Linked DNA regions of Anolis sagrei. The protein of the gene in region 3 purifies or fractionates together with the protein of the main gene of each other region. This does not show direct contact. Links are inferred from orthologs where the notes say so. Each region holds a gene or a part of one and is shown on either strand. Other genes may lie near its edges. The genes, in order: AKAP9, NEDD4L and KCNQ1.

Region 1 (7,848 bases), on a different chromosome or scaffold from region 3:
ACTGAGGGGGGTGGATCACAAGAATCAGATATACAAATGTTAGTCTGCTTCTATATCACGTGGTACAAGGGCTGGGGGTGGTGCCGCAGGCATGCCTGACAGCCCATTGTGTGGAGGAGAACTTGCATGGTGGCAAATCTCACACTGCATTTCTTAGAATTGTGTTACTTTTGGCCTATAGTGTTTCTAACTATGCTGTCTGCATTGCTGTTTTATTCTGACTGCATTGCACTTCTGCTCCAATGCCTGAGAAGGCTGAGATTCATACATTCTTAATACCATTCATTCCTGTGAGAGCTATGCACACATGCGACCTCCAAGAAGTCTTTTTCACCTCCAAGAAGCCTTTTAAAGATCTCTTAATCAGATTGTCTGATTCTGCAATAAGAAGAATCACCGCCACCAGTTGGCACCTGTGGCATTTTCAAGGCATGCACTTGTGTCTCTGTCCAGCAGCAACAGCTGTCAAGAGCCAATCGCATTACAACACATACAGGCAAGTAAGCAAGCGCCTTGTTCTGCAGCTTTTCATTTTCATGAGAAGGTGGACCCCGGTATACCGATTAGCATTACCACCACCTCCAGCATATACGCACAAAGAAAGAGCCCCAAACAAAGAAAGCGCAGCACGGGAAAGATGCCAAGGCACGCCTCTCTCCCTCCTACAATAACACAGGTCTACAATGGGGAAAAAACTCCCCCTTCACAAATATTGATATATTTTTGGGGTGATGAGTTAGAAAAATACAATAACAATGCCATATCACATGAGACGTCTTGTTACAAATTTCAACAACATTTAGTCACAGCTCAAACAAAAATAAAAATGCAATCAAAACGTCATACCACCCAACACTTTGTCCACAAATTTCAACACCAGTCACAATCCTGTCATAAAAGAAACACCAAAATGCCGCACCACAGGTTTCTTTTACAGGTGTCAGTCCCAGATGACAATGAAAAAACCCAAACAACTTGTGGGGAGAAGAAAATTCAATACTATCGTAACTCCAGCTGGCAACATAGGTATATCAAAGCAAGTTGTGTATGGAATAAGCTTATACATAATGTCACAAACCTAAGATCATTTGAGGGGACTCTGAACCTCAAATTCCTACAAAACCCAATATAAATGTTTTAAATGTCATGACTCAATTTTGCAGTGAAACAATTCTCAGAGCTATGGATGCAGCTACACCAGATATAGACAAACTTCAGCCCTCCAGATGTTTTGGACTCTAACTCCCACAGCTGGTAGACTGTTAGGAATTGTGGAAGTTGGAGTCCAAAACACTTGCAGGGCCAAAGTTTGCCCATGCCTGATCTACACCATAGAATGAAGGCATTTTGACAGAAGTTTAACTTAATGCTATGGAATTTTAGGATGTGTAGTTTGGTGAGGCATCAGCCCCCTTTGACAGAAAAGGCTAAGGATCGGAGACTAAAATGATCAAGGGTCTGGAGAACAAGCCCTATGAGGAGCGGAGCGGCTTAAAGACCTGGGCATGTTTAGCCTTAAGAGAAAGCTGAGAGGAGACATGATAGCCATGTATAAATATGTGAGAGAAAGTCACAGGGAGGAGGGAGCAAGCTTGTTATCTGCTGCCCTGGAGACTAGGACGCGGAACAATGGCTTCAAACTACAAGAAAGGAGATTCCATCTGAACATTAGGAAGAACTTCCTGACTGTGAGAGCTGTTCAGCAGTGGTACTCTCTGCCCCGGAGTGTGGTGGATGCTCCTTCTTTGGAGGTTTTTAAACAGAGGCTAGATGGCCATCTGTTAGGAGTGCTTTAAATGCAATATTCCTGCTTCTTGGCAGGGGGTTGGACTGGATGGGGTCTCTTCCAACTCTATGATTCTATCTTTTGGAGGTATTTTGAATGAATTTTACTGCTTCTTGGAAGGAGGTTGGACGGGATGAGGTCTCTTCCAACTCTATGATTCTATCTTTTGGAGGTGTTTGGAATGAATTTTACTGCTTCTTGGAAGGAGGTTGGACGGGATGAGGTCTCTTCCAACTCTATGATTCTATCTGTTGGAGGTGTTTTTGAATGAATTTTCCTGCTTCTTGGAAGGAGGTTGGACGGGATGAGGTCTCTTCCAACTCTATGATTCCATCTGTTGGAGGTGCTTTGAATTAATTTTACTGCTTCTTGGCAGGGGGTTGGACGAGATGGCCCATGAGATCTCTTCCAACTCTATAATTCTACGATCGAACTACAACTTCCAAATTCCCACAGCACTGAGTTAAACTGGTGTCAGAATGCAATCATTATATTACATGGACCGGTAACCTTGACCCTCTCCTCTCTTCCTAGGTATCGAGGATGCATCTGCACTGGAGAAATAATGCAGTTTAACACTTCAATTGCCATGTTACCATACTAGAGAAATGTGGTGTTATAATTTTGCAATATCAGGCATGGGCAAACTTGGGCCCTCCAGGTGTTTTGGACTTCAACTCCCACCATTCCTAACAGCCTCAGGCCCCTTCCTTTCCCCCCTCAGCCGCTTAAGCCGCTTAAGCGGCTGAGGGGGAAAAGGAAAGGGCCTGAGGCTGTTAGGAATGGTGGGAGTTGAAGTCCAAAACACCTGGAGGGCCCAAGTTTGCCCATGCCTGCCTGACATCCTTCCACAACACTGGGTCATGACAGTTAAAGCTCTGTCAAACTGTACTGATCCTCCAAAGTCGCTTCAGGCCTTCCTCTCCTCCGCCTCCAGTCCTTACCTTGGCCTTGCCAGCCTCCAGCTTCTTCTGCCTCTCCTCGTCCTCCATGGTCCCTGAGGCGGGAAAAGAGAGAGACCACAGTGTTTATTATGATTATGACCAAAGCCGTAAAGGGAGGAAGTGGCCCTGAGGGCCCCAAAACGAGCGTCTTTTCTTTACCCGTCTCCCCCCGCAGTCACACGCGAGAGAGGCCAGCTCTGCCCGGCTACGAGGAGAAGAGCAAGCTCTGTGGCGGACCCACCGGCGCCGCCATCTTCGCCTCCACGTAAACACGCGGCCGGGGAAAGTGACGTCACGGGCCCAGCCCCGCCCCCAAACGCCTCCCGTTCGCTGCCCACCTGAAGGGAGGCTGTTCCTCCGAGCGGCGGGAGGGAGCGCGGCAACGGGGACAGCCGTTGCCATAGCACCGCCTTAAAGAGCTTCGCGTCCCTTGGCAGACCCCCAGGGTGGCTTTTCTTTAACCTTGGGTTTATTTTCGGTGTCACGCAGTTTGACACCGCTTTAACACCGCCATGGCTCAGTGTTGTGGTGTAATGGGAGTTGTAGTTTTACTAAGGACGCTTCTGCACTGTATTTTGACACCCCTGTTACTGTCAAGAGAGTTCTAGTTTGGTACTGTTCCATAGTTTTACCATGAGAGCAGTAGCTTTACTTAGAAGTTGTAGTTTGGCCAAGGATAACATCCTGGGAGCTGTAGTTTTACTAAGGGCGCCTCTTCACTAGAATGCATGCACTTCGACACCCCTGTAACTGCCAAGAGAGTTCTAATTTAGTATTCTTCCATCGTTTTACCAAGAGAGCTGTGGCTTTACCTGGGAGTTATAGTTTTTTCCCCCAAGGATAACATGGGAGTTGTAATTTTACTAAGACCGCTTCTACACTGTAGAGCGAATGCCCTTTGACACTCCTTTAACTTCCATGAGACTGTTTTATCAAAGGAGCTGTGACTTTTCCTGGGAGTTATAGTTTTCCCCCCCAAGGATAACATGGGAGTTGTAGTTTTACTAAGTGCGCTTCTACACTGTAGAGTGAATGCCCTTTGACACTCCTTTAACTTCCATGAGAGTTCTTGTTTAGTACTGTTCCTTAGTTTTACCAAGAAAGCTGTGACTTTGCCTGGGAGTTGTAGTTTTTGCCAAGGATAACATCCTGGGAGTTGTAGTTTTACTAAGGGTGCCTCTACACTGTCGAGTGAATGCACTTTGACACCCCTTTAACTCCCACAAGAGTTCTAGTTTAGTACTGTTCCTTAGTTTTACCAAGAAAGCTGTGGCTTTACTTGGAAGTTGTAGTTTTTTCCAAGGATAACATGGGAGTCGTAGTTTTACTAAGAGCACTTCTACACTGTAGACTTTTGACACTCCTTTAACTTCCATGAGAGTTCTTGTTTGGTATTGTTTTATCAAAGGAGCTGTGACTTTGCCTGGGAGTTGTAGTTTTTGCCAAGGATAACATCCTGGGAGTTGTAGTTTTACTAAGGGTGCCTCTACACTGTAGAATCCATGCACTTTGCCATCCCTGTAACGGCCAAGAGAGTTCAAGTTTGGTACTATTGCATCTTTTTACCAAGAGAGCTGTGGCTTCACCTGGGAGTTATAGTTTTTTCCAAGGATAACATGAGAGTTGTAGTTTTACTAAGAGGGCTTCTACACTGTAGAGTGAATGCCCTTTGACACCCCTTTAACTTCCACGAGAGTTCTAATTTGGTACTGTTCCATAGTTTTACAAAGTTTTACCATCCTAGGAGTTATAGTTTTACTAAGGGTGCCGCTGCACTGTAGAGTGAATGCACTTTGATACTCTTTTAACTGCCACAAGAGTTCTAGTTTTACCAAGGGAGCTGGAGTTGTATATTATTATTATTATTATTATTAGAAACACAACAAGACGAGTCCACAGCAAACAAGATAACTTTGCTGGTTGTTATATTGAATCACACGTCGGACATTTCCCAAGTGTCTAGGACTGTGTGATGTATCGGCGAGTAATGCATGCAGATCCCAGTAAGGTGGCCTTTTGCAGCTGGCAGATGGTAATTTTGTCAGCGCCAGTTGTGTTTAAGTGCAGGCCAAGGTCTTTAGGCACTGCACCCAATGTGCCGATCACCACTGGGACCACCTCACAATTAAAAGTATCACAATACAATTTAAAATATACAATATAAGGCATTAAAGCAGTATTAAATGTCATTGGTATTTAAAACAATTCAAGTTAAAACCATAAAAGCATATAAAGGTGTTACCAAGGGTAACATCCTGGAAATTGAGGTTTTGCCAAAGTTCGCACTACATTGTAGAATTAATGCACTCTGACATGACTTGCACACACTGCTGCCGTGGCTCAGCATTGAGCCATGGCAGTTAAAGTGGTATTAAACTGCATTAATTCTACACTGTGATGTACTCAAGGACTTGCAAAACTTGCAATAGGATAATGTGGCTTCAGACTGTTCATCGCAGTCAAGTTCCTTCGTCTGTGAACTGTGACATTTTCTAGAACACTGGCCATCTTATTCTCTTAGAACAAAACAAACAAAGATTATTGTGGCTCTATAAATACCAATGTTAATGGCACAACATTTGGTGAACTATAGGGCATCTTTTTTCATTAAAATCTGTACCATAATAATTGTTTTAGTTTTCAAAGAGCTACAAGGCCGCTTGTTGTTATGAGGATGTGGCAATAATAATACCAAGTTATTTGTTGCTCATGATTTTGAATCACTTTTCAAATGAAAAGTTATGTTTGCCGTTCTGCAAAACTATTTTCCTAGTAATACCAATCTATTGAGGCCCTGAAAGATGGTCTATAAGTAAAGGTCCTTAATTAATTTGTTCAATCGATAAATAAAACCCACGGTTTGTGTGAATCACAACCTGATCTTATGAAGCCAATTAATTCAGTGACTAAGTGTGCTTAATTTTGCAGAAGATTAGCCTGTTAAATTAATGGGATTGAATTACTGTCATTAGAATGAATTTTAAATGATTGCACAAGAACCTTTGTTTGAATCATTTATAGAAACACTTTCTGTTTTAATTGAAGGAGCAATCTATATCCCCTTTATAAAATTGGTTACTATTGGTTACTATCTGTTTACTTGGAGGAGAATATCTCCTTTGGTTACTATCTGTTTACTTGGAGGAGAATATCCCTCTTGCACACAGATAAATAAAGTAAAATCAATATCTAAAACAGAATAATACACTTTTGCTGTTATTTTAAGTTTTCAAAACTGTCCCATTTTCAGAGGAGCAAGATTTAATTTTACACTTACAATTCACATTTATTGGCTGTGAAATATTTCTGATTATTTTGTTTGCTCAGAAAATGAGATTCTGAAAGGGAATTGAAAAGTTTGCCTAGAGGCCTATGTCTAGAAGTGCAGTGCTATCCTAATAATATAATATAATATAATATAATATAATATAATATAATATAATATAATATAATATAATATATTGTATATACATATAATATTTATAATATTATAATGTAATTCAATATAATAACAATATGATATTATAATTATATATTAATATGTGTAATATTACTAATAATATTATGTTATAGTAGTATGGTGCAATATAGCTATGTTTAATGCTGATATTGTACTATGCTAATAATATAATATTGTATGTAATATATACCTTGTAAGCCGCTCTGAGTCCCCTTCGGGGTGAGAAGGGCGGCATATAAATGTTGTAAATAAATAAATAAATAAACCTCCATCACATGATGATCAAAATGCCCATTGCCAGGGGGTCCAAAATTCATACAGTTGTGTCCATTGCTTTCCACACCTCTATGATATATGTATGCATATTTGAGTACATGTAAAAGTAAAGGTTTCTCCTTGACATTAAGTCCAGTCGTATCCGACTCTGGGGGGTTGTACTCATCTCCATTTCTCAGCCAAAGAGCCAGTGTTGTCCATAGACACCTCCTAGGTCATGTGGCCAGCATGACTGCATGGAGCGCCGTTACCTTCCCACCGAAGCAGTACCTATTGATCTACTCACATTTGCATGTTTTCAAACTGTTCGTTTGGCAGAAGTTGGTGCTAACAACGGAAGCTCACCCTTTTCACGGATTCAGACCACTGACCTTCTGATCAGCAAGTTTTGCAGCTTAGTGGTTTAACCCACTGCACCACCGTGGCCCCTTGTGTACATATCAACACACTAAATTAAAGCATAAGGACCTGACAATATGTTGTTGGAGAAGCTCTTTTGCTCTAGCCATTTGGAAGATAGCAGCTCAGCTTAGAAGGAATTACGAGAAAAATTAAAATATATCATTGTCTCTGCTAATCAAGAAGTTCCAAGCCCTGACTTGAGTCCCTATATTGGGAAAAAGGCAAGATAAAACAAAGTAAATAATGAATAAAATAAATAAAAATATTACGTTGCTGTTTGGATCCGAAAAAAAGAGGATAAAGAGGGTCTGAAGGCAGAAAGGCTAAGGAGCAGGAAGATAAAGAAGCATGGGAGATAAAGAACAGGCTAGAGTATGCAGACTTTGAAATGTAGGTCATTCAGGGAACGCTAGACAGAAGAAACAGAATGGACAAAGAGCAAAGAGGATAGAAAAAGAATGAATAAGGAAGGCGATTTTGTAAATTATGCATTAGGACTGAAAGAGCTCTCCATGAATGACAGGAAAAGTGGGTGGGAAATAAGCAAAAAGTGCTGACAGGCACTATAAAGTATTGACTGTGGATGTTAAGTTTTCTCTAAGATGAAACTTATGGCGGCCAAAACGAATGTAATACCATATCAGTCATGGGGAACTTATTTCACCATGCAAGTGTTCCACACATGCCCCATGTATAAAACTATTTACTAGGTGATTCATTCTTTTTTTCCAATTCCATTTAATATTATTTCTAAAACAGAAAAAGAAAACATCGTAATAACTTGATAAATTATAATTTTGCAAGCTAAGTGCATTCATCAACACATTTAGCATTCCTGTGCTCAGCAAATTAAGAAGACATGGCTATAGCATGCGAACTGCACATGTAAATAGATTTGACTCTTTATGTGTGAAATATTCAGAGAAGACTTTGTCCATGAACCACATCACATTATTCTAAAGGAAGCTGTCTTAAATCAC
Region 2 (7,045 bases), on a different chromosome or scaffold from region 3:
TATCTATGTGTAGTAATGTAATATTGCAAAAGTTGTCACTCCTAGTCCCCTGGTTGCACATTTCTGATCTTATTCTAAACTGAGTCCATTATTGGGTTTGGCCATGCAAAAACCCAATAATAGGTTTTCTCTGAGCTCTCAATATGAGGGAAGATATTCATTTAACCATCTTGGACAGTATAGAAAATATATACCGAACCCCCACATTTTTAAGAGTGTCAAAAGAGCTCATAGGGGAACTTGCTCATTCACTGCCTTAATGTGAATTTAGTACTCAATAAAAGACACACGCACCAACATGAACAGTTTGTAGAAGAGTTAACACCATTTGGCACATACTGTATCTTTTGCCTCTTCCAGTCCCCTTCAGTGGCAGCTAAAACTCACATATGCATTTTTGATTTGCATCTCAGCTTAAGCAGCTCCCCAAAAAATCGTATAGATTCTTCAAATAAGAAACCTTTACAGCTTTAAAAATTCAAATACCAGAAATTAAGGGAACAAAATAACCTCAAACCATTTAATGTCATTTCAATATGTCCAAAATAAAACCAGAGGGATGTATGTGGTAAAGAGAGTAAAAACTCAGCAGAATTAAATGTCTGCTGGAATGCATGTCTTTTCTGTTTCCTCTCAATCTGGAAATTTTAGAGTGATTTTTCCTACACTAACAGTGAAAGAAAAATAGCACACAATACTGACACAATGATGCCTAAAAGAAAAGAACAATGTCTTTATGAACCTGATTCCCTTATCTGGAATGCAATTGGTGCTAGGCATCTATAATCTTCTCAGTGATATAATAGGTATATATCGATAAGTTAAACTGGGTAGAATAAAAGTCTTTTTGTATTACGCAGCAACCATCACAATGCCTTCCCACAGTTAGATGCTGCCTTCCAGCATCGAACTGCAATATATGCCATGATTACACAGGCGGAAGCGATACGGGCCAAAAACATCTCTTTTGTTTGTTTTCATATGGAGCTGGAACATGTAAGAGACTAGTGGCATTCAAGCAACAACAAAGCACAATTTTAAAAAATACAACTTTGGCATTCGTTTATTATATATCCTTCTGTGAAAAAAAACTATGCCTATTGTTTGTAGAATATGAAATATACCTAATTTGTTAAGGCTAATGACGAAAATAGTAGTATAACCAAAACTGAAATTAACAAATCAAAACGTTTGGGATTCCATGACTACTTTTTCACATTTATAAGCAATTAAACAAAAAGACACTAAAACTGCGCTAATATTTTTGAAAAACAGCTTTTGATCCTTAACTTTTAACGAGGTATACATAGTATGTTTGGCATAAATGTATATATCACTTGAGATTTTAAAGATTATAGGACTTTTTTTAAAAGCATAGAAATAAGGCAAAATGGGCAGAGTATTATATACACACACATAACTACCGAACTGTATTTGACAACGTAGCAATGAATTAAGTAACTCATGAGTCACCAGAAGACCTGAAAACATTGCACTGGAAGTAGTCATAACTGAAAGCTACTTTAGCCTAACAAAACATAGATGCTTTCAGATTGTTCTGGAAGATTGTAGGTCTTTCTAACATTGCTATATGATATTTCACAACTATGTGACCTGCACGAAGCATCTGAGTTTCCATTCCCCTTATCCCCTGACTCAAAACAATCTAAGTGAAAACTTAAATTACCACTTCGTTAACATTTACTTACTGATGAATTGGTTGCAACAGGAGCAGAACCAGTTGAATTCTCTGATCCAGAACTTTGACCTTTCTCATTAATCCCACGAGTTACAAGAATTCTGAAATGCTGCTGCCTTGAGTTTTGATCTGGATGGATTTTAAACATGCATCCTTGCCCTGGAGAAACCCGCTCCACTGGATTGCCTCTGGATTTTTCAGTGCCATTCCTGCTATTTCCGTGAAGTGTTGAATTCACACTTTCACCCTCCATGGGGCTAATGCGTTCTGGCTGTGGGTGAACTGGATATGAGGTACTCCTCTCCAGACGTATTCGTGGATACCTAACCAACCGATCCCCTTTCGTTCCCGTGAAACCAAAATTGTAGTCTGTCCCTGTGCTATTTGCCGGGGGCTGCTGCAATTGGAAAACAAAGAATTTCTTTCCTGAATTGGTAGAGCCTTCTGGCAAATGTTGCAAAGACCAGCGCCTGGGTTCTGAGGCCGAAGCATTGTTTGGCGCCTCTGAGTCAAAGGGCATTAGCGTAACATGAGGCACGTCTACGCTCGAAGCCCGATGCTGAATCCTTACCCTGCCAATGTTTAAGCCTAATCCGGTTTTGCTTGCTTCGTGGTCCTGGCCAGTGGCTGCACCATTGTCAGTCCAGTTATTGGAAGGGATGGTACAAAATATCCTGTGATTAGATGGCTCTCCGTTAATCTCATACTCTGGGTTCTCCGCTTGCCTGGGTGGAGAGTTGTCTGGGGTGACCTGCTGACTGTTAGAAGAAGAATGGCTTCCATCAAGAGATGTGCAATGCTCCCCTAAATCTGAAAAATCCCCCATGTCTTCTGGGGGGGATTCCGTGCCCTCGCATTCATCAGCATGCCCATTGACAGCCTTGCGCTGGAGTGAAATCTGCACAGAAGAGCTCCTGGTGGGCCGGGCATCTATGCTGTTGAGAAGCTGAGGAATAAACATAGAGGTGCTCCTCTTCAAGGAACCGGCTTCCCGCAAATCCCTGTGGTTATCTCCACACTCAGCCCTTCGCCTTGAGAAAGTATGAGGCCCATTCCTTCTGGGCAAAGTGTGGCATGCCATGAAAAAGTCATCCTCTTCTCTCTCACGGTCAAGGATCCCCGACTCAGGAGCGGTGTTGCTTCGTCCGGAGCCAAAATGAAACCGCAGCCGATGGGCCATGGTTTCAGGAGAAAGGAGAGGGGAGGGGGAGACAGCGACGAGTCCAGGCACTGCCAGAAATTAAGAACTAAAGACATAAACTCCAAGAAAAAGTGTCCCATCTGCCAAACTGTTAGCACTACTGCACCGATAGAGACAGGCAGCAGAAATAGCCCAAGTGGCCAGCAGCATTCCAGGCATGATTGGATAAGAGCAATCGGTGCTCCTCCAAACTGTGACATAGGGTAGGATGGCTGGCATCACATGACCCATTTCCCCCTCTCCAATGCAAGCAACTATTTTTTTCACTTTAATACCAGCAATAGCCTGAAACAGCACCTTCACAGCTGTTCCTTTTCCATCAGAAAAGGAGCGGCCCCAGCGGGAGATCTCTCACAGCTGACTAAGGCAGCAAACACACTCGACTCCGCTATAAATCTAAACTGCATCATATTCACGGAACATTTCTGTTCTAAGCCAAAAGAAAAAGAAAGACAAGTGGGGGAAGCCACACAAGACCTCTCCCTCCCTCCGTGAAAAATAAATCCACTTAATATGTTCATGCAGATCGGGAATCACCAAGGGAAAAAATGGCTGGGCAAAGGCAGAGAGAGAGAAACTGAAATTTTGTTTGTTTAAAGTTGGCTGCAAACTTCAGACTACTGCAAATACTTATCAGAGAACGCTAGAAACCGCATATTTCTCTCTTTATGCCTGAAGCAATTTAAGCAGCAATACGTTCCTGAAGTGAAAGACACAGATATCATATTGCCACCATAAACGGACTATAATAACCCACTTTGGCTACAGTAAGATCTTTTTGGGGAGGAAAAAAAACAGAGAGAAAAAACTCTTACACGCACAATTCAAGAAGCAGCCAGTAGCAAGCAACAGTCTCTCTTTCCCAGTTTTTAAGAGGTTGAGAAGGCAAGTAAAATCTGGAACAGGGTGTGCATGAAGAGCTGTACAGATCTGACTTAAACACCGTACATAAACGCTGCCCAGCGCTGGCAAAACTCCAGTGAGAAAGTTTAGCAATATTAGTAGCTTGGGTTGCCAGAATGGAACAGAGCTCTGCTTTATTAGGAGCCAAAAGCATCAGAAGAACTAACAGGCAGTCTGAAACCCAAAATTAAACAATGCCCGAATTCGGCTCTGCTCTGTGTGGTAGTTTAAATAATAAGGAGGGGAGGTATGGCTGAAGTACAACTGAAAACACTCCTTCAAGAATGAATTTAAAGGCAAGGCAATGAAACCAAACAGTACTGTCAGGAGGCAAGTACAACAACTGCCTTTGTAAATGAAAGCTTCATAGAGCTAAAGGGGAAAAGAAATCTTATACAGGTGTCGGGTCTGAGTCACATCATAGACATTTCAGCCTCGGTTTTCTAGCAACTTGTTTTCAGACAGAGAAATAAAACAGCTCTAATTACAAAGGGGAAAGGGGAACAGCACTGACAGTCGAAGGCTAGTGCAAACCCCTATTGTGTTTTTGGGATTGGTTTTTAATGTATTTGTGTTGTTTTGAGAATTCTACGCTTATGTTTTGCGTACTCTGTATGTTGGTGTTTTGCTATTTGGAAACCGCCCTGAGTCCCTTAGAAGAGATAGAGTGATATATAAATAAAGTTTATTATTATTATTATTATTATTATTATTATTATTAATAGGTGGCAAGAAACAACAAAACAAAATACGAAGGTGGGGGAGCCATTATTATTTGCTAAACAGTAATAATTATAATAATAAGTAAGTATTAGTCTGGAGGTTCCTCCAGCATTATTTTAACACAGTTTTCAGACTTTGGAGCCTATTTCCATATTATACGAACAAGCAACCCTTACTTTGACAGAAAAACAATGCTTGGAAAAAAGAGGGGTCAGACCATAAGTTGACGTTTGATGAACACTCCAGTTTATCCACACAAGGCTTCATTCATTTTCAAAGACGTTAATATTCAATTCAGTGGAAAGACAGTAAAGATATCCCAGAGCAACCGTAGTATACAAAAATGTCTATCCTGAAGGGAGGTTGTGGTATATCTTACTCAAACCCTAGCACCAACCTTGTTATTCTGTTTATTCAAGTGATTTCTAAGTTATGGCAACTCTAAAGTGATCCTAACATGTAGTGTTCTTGGCAGAAGTTACTCACAGAGTGTTTTCTCTTGCCTTTCTCTAAGGCTTTCTCTAAGGCTGAGAGGTAGGACTCGCACAAGGTCATATGGTGGGTTTCCATGGCGGAGCAGGGAATCAAATGCCAATCTCACAGTCTCACAGTCCAACACTCAAACCACAATACCACACTTGCTTTCCAATTTGGTAGTTATTTGTGACAAAAGTTGGGCAGACATAGGATTAAGTTTGGGGGTGCTTTGTGTGTTCTTATCTGGCAGGGGGTTGGACTGGATGGCCTTTATGGTCTCTTCTAACTCCATGATTATTAGTTATATGCTATTTAAAACTTCAACTAATGTTCAGTCACTCAATGACAGCAGTGAGCATAGGGGGATGAGGTGGGCAGTCAGCCCAGTGCAATTCACGTGCTTCCATTCTGTGTACAAATCAACTAGCAGTTTTACTTTAGTCCTGGGAATATGACAGGATCACATCACTACCACATTGTAGTTTAGCAAGTGAAAGACAGGGATCTGTGTCACACAGAGCTATCCCCTAAAGCAGTGTTTCTCCAGGTGTTTTGGACTTCAGCTCCCAGAAATCTCAGCCAGTTTACCAGCTGTTAGGAATTGTGGGAACTGAAGTCCATGACATCTGGAGAAGCACAGTTTGAGAACCCCTGTTCTAAGTAATGGGGAACTCAGGAGAATCAGTTGAGGGCTGTCACTGGTTCCATCTCAGGTGGATGTCTCAAGCAGCCACATGAGGGGGGCTTCTACAACTGCATCTTGGGAGCACAAAGATGAACAATAATGTGTTGTCAAAGGTTTTATGGCCAGAATCACTGGGTTACCGTGAGTTTTCTGGGCTGTATGGCCATGTTCCAGAAGCATTCTCTCCTGATGTTTCGCCCACTTCTATGGCAGGCATTCTCAGAGGTTGTGAAGTCAGAGGTTGTGAAGCTTCACAAACTCTGAGGATGCCTGCCATAGATTTGGGAGAAACTTCCAGAAAAAATGCTTCTGGAACATGGTCAAACATCCCAGAAAACTCACAACCCTATGAACCATAATGTCCAAACACCTCACATGCAGCATTTCTAAGAAGAACTCAGAACTATTTGCAAGCCTACTTATTAAACAATTTTCATGCTTCCTTATTTTTTTTTCTTTTGGGGAAAAATTGACTAACTTCTCATAATCAAAATTGAAAAAAACTCTTTATAATATGCCACAGAAAGAAACATTCATTTTTTACATGAATATAACAAACAGACATAAGCCAGTGTGATGTAGTAGTTTGGACTAAGACTCTGGGAGGCCAGGATTCAAGTCCTCGTTGAGTTAAGGAAACCCCAGGGGTGATCTGGAAAAAGTCATATTCTCTCAACCCAAGAGGAAATAAATTGTGGATTTCCTCTGAATAAATCTTTCCAAAAAACCTCAGGATTGGGTTGAATTGAACAAACATAGAAACAACACAACAACAAAATATAGAAGAGAATACTTACCAATCTGTTTTCATCAAATACTTCAAAAAGCAGTCTGTGGTTAGACGGATTTACCTACAAGACAAAAGAGAAGAATTCTTTTTAAAATGATTTATGGACACAAACTGTTCAATATTTTGTCTCACAATGCAAATTTATATGCAATGGGCAGGGAAGCTCTACACTTCTAAACCATGGCCTGCATGTTTTTTCTGCTGTTATGAAGGTACAGTCAGCCCACCACACTTTTTGATTTAACTTTCTTGGGTTTCACTATTTGCGGATTTGATTGATATGTTTTTAAACCATTTGCTACCATTGTGAACATTTTCTGGAAAAACAAAATAGTAGCAGTCTATGCCTCCCTCCAAACCTCAAAGAGCCACCCGCACCAACACACATCCCATAATAAGTATTGCATCTCCTAAGATCACCCTGTTTTGTTTAAACATTCCCCAAAAGAGCCCTTCATACTTTCTAAGAGTCTTGTTTTGTCCTCCTAGTCTCTTTTAAGCCCTGGTACAAAGAATCATCATACTTCCCGCAACCTGAATATCTATCTATCTATTTGAAATTGATAG
Region 3 (6,918 bases):
CATTCCAAACCATATTCACCCATGCAGAATGGGTCTTCTTCTTCCTATGCAGCTGATGTCAGGTAAAATAAGTTGGAGTGTGTGTTTGGGGGAGAGACACATTCAATTTGTCTGTTCTGCACAGTTTTTAAACAATCCCTGATCAATAGTGTCACAGTCATGACTAAAGAGTGATTGTAAATACGAAACAGTTATCTAGATTTACTCATCTGTAACAGTTCCTTCTCCACCATCAATTTCACTGGAGCAGCCATGTTGTCTAAATGCCTGTTTCCCAAAGCAGTTACCAAGTAAAATTTAAAACTGAATTGTTTCAGTTTTTTTGGTTATATCAATAATAATGCAAGTTTTATTTCTCCTCAATCATACATAGATACAGCTACTTTGACTGCAATCTTGTATCAGCTCCTCAATAAAGTTTACTTAACTAAGTAACCTTTCCTGGCATGACGACCATTCCAAACCATGGAACTACTGTATTTATGGATTGAAAGTATTAAAATGAATTTCCAGAAAGCAACCCTTGATTTTGCCATTTTATATAAGTGTATATAATGGGACCTTAATATTCACTGATTTTGTTATCCAGGTGTATGTTCAGCAGGTGGGGAGATGGAGGCTGGAACCAAACTCCAACAGGTACCAAGGCCCCCTCTACTTTAAATGGTAACTAAATAATGGAAATAATATACACTTTTCTAGTATATATTATCATACTTCAAATCATGTCATAATGTGCAATGTGTTGTGGCTGAGTATGATTGTCTTCCAGAGAGAGAGCCTTGACAGTGACTGTGAAGACCTATTCTGGATCCACGTGGTATTTCACAATGAGGACACAGATGTTCAGATAGAAGGTGATCATGAGAAGGATTTGCTTGACACTTCTCTTCTTTTTGTCCTGTATTGAGGGCCAGGGTTTCCCAATTCTCTGTGTTTATACCACATTTAGTTTAGCTTTAAGCTGATCTTTACATCTCTTTTGCTGTCCACCAACATTCTGTTTTCCATTCTTAAGTTGAGAATAACGTAATTGCTTTGGGAGATGGTGATCAGACATACCAAGGGCCTAAAAGGTAATGGTAAATGTTTCCCCTGACATTAAGTCTAGTCATGTCTGACTCTGGGGGGTGGTGCTCATCTCTATTTCTAAGCCAAAGAGCCAGCGTTGTCCATAGACACCTCCAAGGTCATGTGGCCAGCATGACAGCATGGAGCACTATTACCTTCTCACCGGAGAGGTACCTATTGATCTACTCACATTTGCATGTTTTTGAACTGCTAGGTTGGCAGAAGCTGGGCCTAACAGCAGGAGCTCACCCTGCTCCCCGGATTTGAACCACCAACCTTTTTGTCAGCAAGTTCAGTGGCTCAGCGGTTTAACATGCTGTGCCTCGGGGGAGGGGGGGCACCAAGGGCCTGGTGTACTTTAAAAGAGATCTTATATACACCAGAAAATGATGGCTAAATAATGGAAACAGAAATAATATATATATTTCTCTTACATATTGGACCACAAATCGTGTAGTACTATACACCCTATTTACTCAAATCTAATGCTCACCTTTTTTGTCTAAATGACCTTGTCAAAGTTAGGGTGTGCATGAGATTCGCATCATACTGTAATCTTAGTGCTATTCCTGCTTCTTGGCAGGGGGTTGGACTGGATGGCCCATGAGGTCTCTTCCAACTCTTTGATTCTATGATTCTATGCTGAGCCAAAGCCAAAGGGGAAGCTGCTTCACTATTTGAAATTTATATCTCAAATTTAATGGCCAGACTCAGACTCAATGTTTTGCCATCCTGGGATTTGTAGTTTGGCGAGGCACCTGCATTCTTTGGCAGAGAAGGCTCAAGACTTGAAAAACTTCACGCCCACCCCATGACTCCATGGCATTGAACCAAGATAATTAAAGTGCATTCATCCTGCAGCAGAGAATGTAGCATCCCAAGGTTTCCTTTCCATTGCTGGAAGTTTTGGTGTTCTAAAGGAGAATTCTAAGTAGGCACCAACTGTAAGGGGCAAATGACAAAGAGAGCACTTTTTGCTGCTGCACATGACCTTTGGCAGCAAATAATCCCCCCCCCCCCTTTTTTTATTTCAGGGTTTTGAAAATGGAAGTGTGCATTAGATCTGATGGTGCATTAGACTTGAGTAAATATGGTATAAGTTCACAACTTTTTTTTTGACAAGGGACCATTGACCAGGGACGACTCTGCAACATTAGTATCAACAGGGTTACGAATCAATCTTTGGTCAATTTTAGATTTGGTTTGGTTATTTGGGGTGCTGATTCAGAAAACTGCATTGGATAGGCTACATGAGCTCTAGTTTCTGATACAGAACATAGGCCATCCAGTAGTCACCATCTGCTCGCCCACAGAAAACCATAGTGAATAATCTAGAGCTGATGTGGTAGTAGTAATCTTTTGTGGGCAGTCAGCCTCTCCCCTCCCAAATTCCCATTGCCTTGACATTATAAGAGGGTTTCGCAAGACCAGTTGCTCTTGTTGCTGCAGGGTTTTGAGGCAACGGTGTAGTAATGGTGAAGCCAGAGACCATATTTTCGTTCTTGGTGGTCCACGGACCACAGGTTGGGAACTACTGGTATAAGATATATAGTATTTGGAATTGTTGCATTTATACAAAAGTTTTTCAAATATGATGTTTCAATGTCAGTTGTGTCAGCAGAAATGAATTCATGGTCACTATTGAGGACTTCCAATTCATTTATCCTATCAGGAGAGAACCAAGATTACAGAGGTAATGTATTTAAAAAACACAAAGGTTAAAAACTTGTCATGATACTAAATGTCCTTTGACCAATAGTGGGCCCCTTGGAGTGCCTCTGGTATTCCTATAAGAAGGTCCTCCGTTGTGCATGTGGCAGGGCTCAGGCTGCATTGAAATAGGTGGCCTGTGCTCCAGTAGCCTGCCAGGGTCCGGGGGCAGCAAGGGAGAGTCGCAATAACACCAAGAAGGCCACAGCAGCCTTCAGAGCACCTGCTGTCTGTGAACTTGCTGCCCGGTTGTGCCAAGCACCAGAGCCTTGTCAGGGAAAGAAGGAAGGAAGGAGGGAGGGAGGGAGGGAGAAGGAAAGGAGGAAGAAAGGAAAGAAAGGAAAGAAAGGAAAGAAAGGAAAGAAAGAAAGAAAGAAAGAAAGAGGGAGGGAGGGAGGAAGAAGGAAAGGAGAAAGAAAGGAAAGAAAGGAAAGAAAGAAAGAAAGAGGGAGGGAGGGAGGAAGAAGGAAAGGAGGAAGAAAGGAAAGAAAGAAAGAAAGAAAGAAAGAAAGAGGGAGAGAGAGAGAGAGAAAGAAAGAAGGAAGGAAGGAAGGAGTGAGGGAGAAGTAAAGGAGGAACAAAGGAAAGAAAGAAAGAAAGAAAGAAAGAGGGAGGGAGGGAGAAAGAAGGAAGGAAGGAAGGAAAGAGGGAGGGAGGGAGAAGGAAGGAAAGAAAGAAAGAAAGAAAGGAAAGAAGGAAGGAAGGAAGAGGGAAGGAGGGAGGAAGAAGAGAGGGGGGAGGAAAAAGGAAAGAGGGAGGGAGGGAGGAAGAGAGAAAGAAAGAAAGAAGGAAGGAGAAAGGAAGGAAGGAAGGAAGGAAAGGAGGGGAAGGGAAGGGAGAGGAGAAAGAAAAGAAAAGAAAAGAAAAGAAAAGAAAAGGAGGGCCGGTCTCCTTCCTCGGCAGTCCGCGCCGGGGCTCCTTGGGTGGCGACGGGCAGGAGGCATCGGGGCGGAGAGCGGGGCCCTTCCTTCCCCGGGGAGCCTCCCTCCCTCCCTCCCTCCCTCCCCTTGAGTGGGCCGGGCCAAGAAGGGCTCTCGGGCGGGCGGACGGGCAGGCAGGCGGCGAGAAAGGCCAGAGCGAAGGAGAGCAGCGCTGCCCCCGCCTGGCCTGGCCGCGATGCCTGCTTCCCCGCCGCCTTCGCCTTCTCCTTCCCCTTCCCCCGCGAAGGCGGAGCGGCGCCGCTGGACCCTGGAGCGCTTCTCGGTCCTCTCCAAGAAAGGCAGCCTCAAGCCCTCGGCGCTGGAGCTGGCCGAGAACGCCCCCGACGCCCGCTACGCGCCTTTCTCGCTCTCGGCGCCCGGCCCCCCGGCCCCGCGCAGCCCGCCAGGCGGAGGAGGAGGAGGAGGAGGATCAGGCGAAGAGGAGGCGGTGGCGGCGCGGGTGGTGATGAGCGCCGACTTCCCGCGCCCCTCGGTCAACCTGGACCCGCGCGTCTCCATCTACAGCGCCCGGCGCCCGCTCCTCAGCCGCAGCCACATCCAAGGACGGGTCTACAACTTCCTCGAGAGACCCACCGGGTGGAAGTGCTTCGTCTACCACTTCACCGTGTGAGTCAGCGGGGGGGGGGGGGGGGGGAAGGGGAAAGGGGGAGGGGAGCCCTTCGGAGTTAGAGTAGGACGAGAGGAGGGGAGGGGAAGGAAAGGCAGCGGGCACCATCTCTCGCAGGAGTGGGCTCCCTCCCACCCAGGGCGCTTTGCATCCTGCCCGGGATGCTGGGGGCTGCAGTCCGCTTCCCACGAGCCCGGCCCCGGCAAGCAGGCGGCTCTTCCTCCTCCTCCTCCTCCTCCCTTCCCCACACGAAGCAACCCGCCTCGGCTCTTCGGGTTGTCCTGCGCAACCTCGCACACCTTCTCTCCATCGCATGACAGCTCAAAGTTGCTGCTTTGGTGCACTTCTAAAACACGTCTAACTTGGTACTTTGTTGTGCCACGCGCATCCAACGCAAGGCCAAGGACCGAGCATCATTGGTATTTGGTCCACGAGGCTTCCAAGAAGAGGTCAACATAGTTCCATGTGTACAGTCTTGCAGTTGCAAGCAACCCTTTGAAGGCAACCGTAAGGCAGTTGTGGCCTTTGGTGAAAAGACCTTTGACACCCTTGATTTATTCTACTATCACCACTCCCTCCCCTTCAATAAAATTACTAGAGAGAGACACACACAAAGACAGAGAGGATAAATGCAGTTTGACAGGACTTGGACTGCCAGGAACCCAATGCTGTGGAATCATTTTACAAGGTCTGGAGCAGGCACGGGCAAACTTCGGCCCTCCTGGTGTTTTAGGCTTCAACTCCCACAATTCCTAACAGCTGGTAAGCTGGCTGGGATTTCTGGGAGGTGAAGTCCAAAACACCTGGAGGACCAAAGTTTTCCCATGCTTGTTCTGGAGTCTTCTCCACCAAAAAGCGCCAGAGCCTTCTCAACTTGCAACACCCAGGTTTCCATAGCACTGGGCCATGGCATTTAAAGTGGTTTTGAACTTCCTTCGTGGTACAGTCTATATGCACCCCAGGCGTCGCTAGAGTTTGCTTGGTTTAAACCCTAAGTCTCCCTGAGTCCCTATAAGATAGGGTATAGGTAAAGGTAAAAGTTTCCTCCTGACATTTAAGTCCAGTTGTGTCTTAATCTGGGGGGTGGTGCTCATCTCCATTTCTAAGCTGAAGAGCCAGCATTGTCCGTAGACACCTCCAAGGTTATGTGGCCAACATGACTGCATGGAATACCATTACTTTCCTACCAGAGTGATTGCTATTGATCTACTCACATTTGCATGTTTTTGAAATGTAGGTTGGCAGGAGCTGGGGCTAAAAATAGGAGCTCACTCCGCTCCCCAGATTCAAACTACCAACCTTTCAGTCAGCAAGTTCAGCAGCTCAGTGGTTTAACCTACTGCACTACTGGGGTATAGGTAATGCCACCAAATTAACAAGCAAACGGATAACTGCAATAGGCATGCTCATACTTGGGAGTCATTTCCGTTAGGTTCAGTGGAGGATGCAGCCAGCCCTCCGCATCCACAGATTCTGCATTCACAGATTAAACCATACATTTCTTTAAAATTCCCAAAAGCAAATGTTGATTTTGCCATTTTGTGCAGGGACACCCTCTTACTGTGCCATTGTACATAATGGGACTTGAGCATCCACAGATTTTGTTATCCATGGAACCAAACCCCAGTAGATACCAAGGGTTCACTAAACTTCTAGGAAAGAGTTTGTAGCATTTATTTGTTTGTTTAAGATATTTCTCCCTCTGCCTTTCTCTGCGGCTGGACCCAAAGCGGTTAAAAAGATAAAGGTTTCCCCTTGACATTAAGTCTAGTTGTGTCCAGCTCTGGGGGGTAATGCTCATCTCCATTTCTAAGTTGAAGAGGCAGCATTGTCCGTAGGCATCTCCTAGGTCATGTGGCCAGCATGACTGCAAGAAGTGCCATTACCTTCTCGCCAGAGTGGTGCCTATTGATCTACTCACGTTTGCATGTTTTCAAACTGCTAGGTCGGCAGAAGCTGGGCTTAACAGTGGAAGCTCACCATGCTCCCTGAATTCGAATCGCTGACCTTTTGATCAGCAAGGTAATCAGATCAGCAGTTTAACATGCTGCACCAAACCAAAGTGGTTTACAACATATGAAACACACAATATCAACAATAAAACATACAATAAACAAATTAAAACATACTTAAAATATACTGCAGGCGACGTATGTAACAATTCATTGTAAGATCCTCAGATGTGTTTGTCACACAGAAGTCTGTTTTCCCCTTTTTAGCTTGTGATGCCTGTCTTACAGAATATGCGTTTTTAGTAATCCCATCAGTATAAGACCTTGGGTGGAGGAACAGCTCTGTTGGGTAGCAGCTCTAGGTGTGTTTCCAGACAGGCCCCCTTGAACCATGTACCTGTTATGCCCAATGGAAAGTTCCGCTGTGGATTGCTCAGTGCTGAAGGTCTTGGAAAAGCTTTTTTTTTTTTTTTACTGCAACTCCCAGAAGACTTTTGGGGGGAAGTTGCAATCCAAAAAAGTAACATTCTTAAGGTCTGGATCTATTTGATGAGTTGCGCACATACTTCTTTGTGTGTGTTCCATTCATTCGTAATGTGATTAGGGAAGCAATACATTGTGTGCCAAGAACTTTTTA

Evidence for each region.
Region 1: the proteins of KCNQ1 (region 3) and AKAP9 purify together in Homo sapiens (affinity purification with western blotting; 3 studies listed by BioGRID and IntAct, with this or other methods). This does not show direct contact. The link is inferred for Anolis sagrei from reciprocal best matches to the Homo sapiens genes KCNQ1 and AKAP9.
Region 2: the proteins of KCNQ1 (region 3) and NEDD4L purify together in Homo sapiens (affinity purification with western blotting, with the first as the bait; 3 studies listed by BioGRID). This does not show direct contact. The link is inferred for Anolis sagrei from reciprocal best matches to the Homo sapiens genes KCNQ1 and NEDD4L.

Annotation. Positions count from the first base shown.
Region 1 is NC_090026.1:102,885,836-102,893,683, forward strand, and holds the start of AKAP9 (A-kinase anchor protein 9), read right to left. Parts: upstream 3,007-7,848; 5' UTR 2,890-3,006; intron 2,784-2,889; 5' UTR 2,779-2,783; coding exon 2,731-2,778; intron 1-2,730. UniProt on the Homo sapiens protein: Scaffolding protein that assembles several protein kinases and phosphatases on the centrosome and Golgi apparatus. Required to maintain the integrity of the Golgi apparatus. Required for microtubule nucleation at the cis-side of the Golgi apparatus.
Region 2 is NC_090022.1:282,591,633-282,598,677, forward strand, and holds the start of NEDD4L (E3 ubiquitin-protein ligase NEDD4-like), read right to left. Parts: upstream 3,068-7,045; 5' UTR 2,880-3,067; coding exon 1,710-2,879; intron 1-1,709. UniProt on the Homo sapiens protein: E3 ubiquitin-protein ligase that mediates the polyubiquitination of lysine and cysteine residues on target proteins and is thereby implicated in the regulation of various signaling pathways including autophagy, innate immunity or DNA repair.
Region 3 is NC_090021.1:245,562,456-245,569,373, forward strand, and holds the start of KCNQ1 (potassium voltage-gated channel subfamily KQT member 1), read left to right. Parts: upstream 1-3,842; 5' UTR 3,843-3,897; coding exon 3,898-4,328; intron 4,329-6,918. UniProt on the Homo sapiens protein: Pore-forming subunit of the voltage-gated potassium (Kv) channel involved in the regulation of cardiomyocyte excitability and important in normal development and functions of myocardium, inner ear, stomach and colon.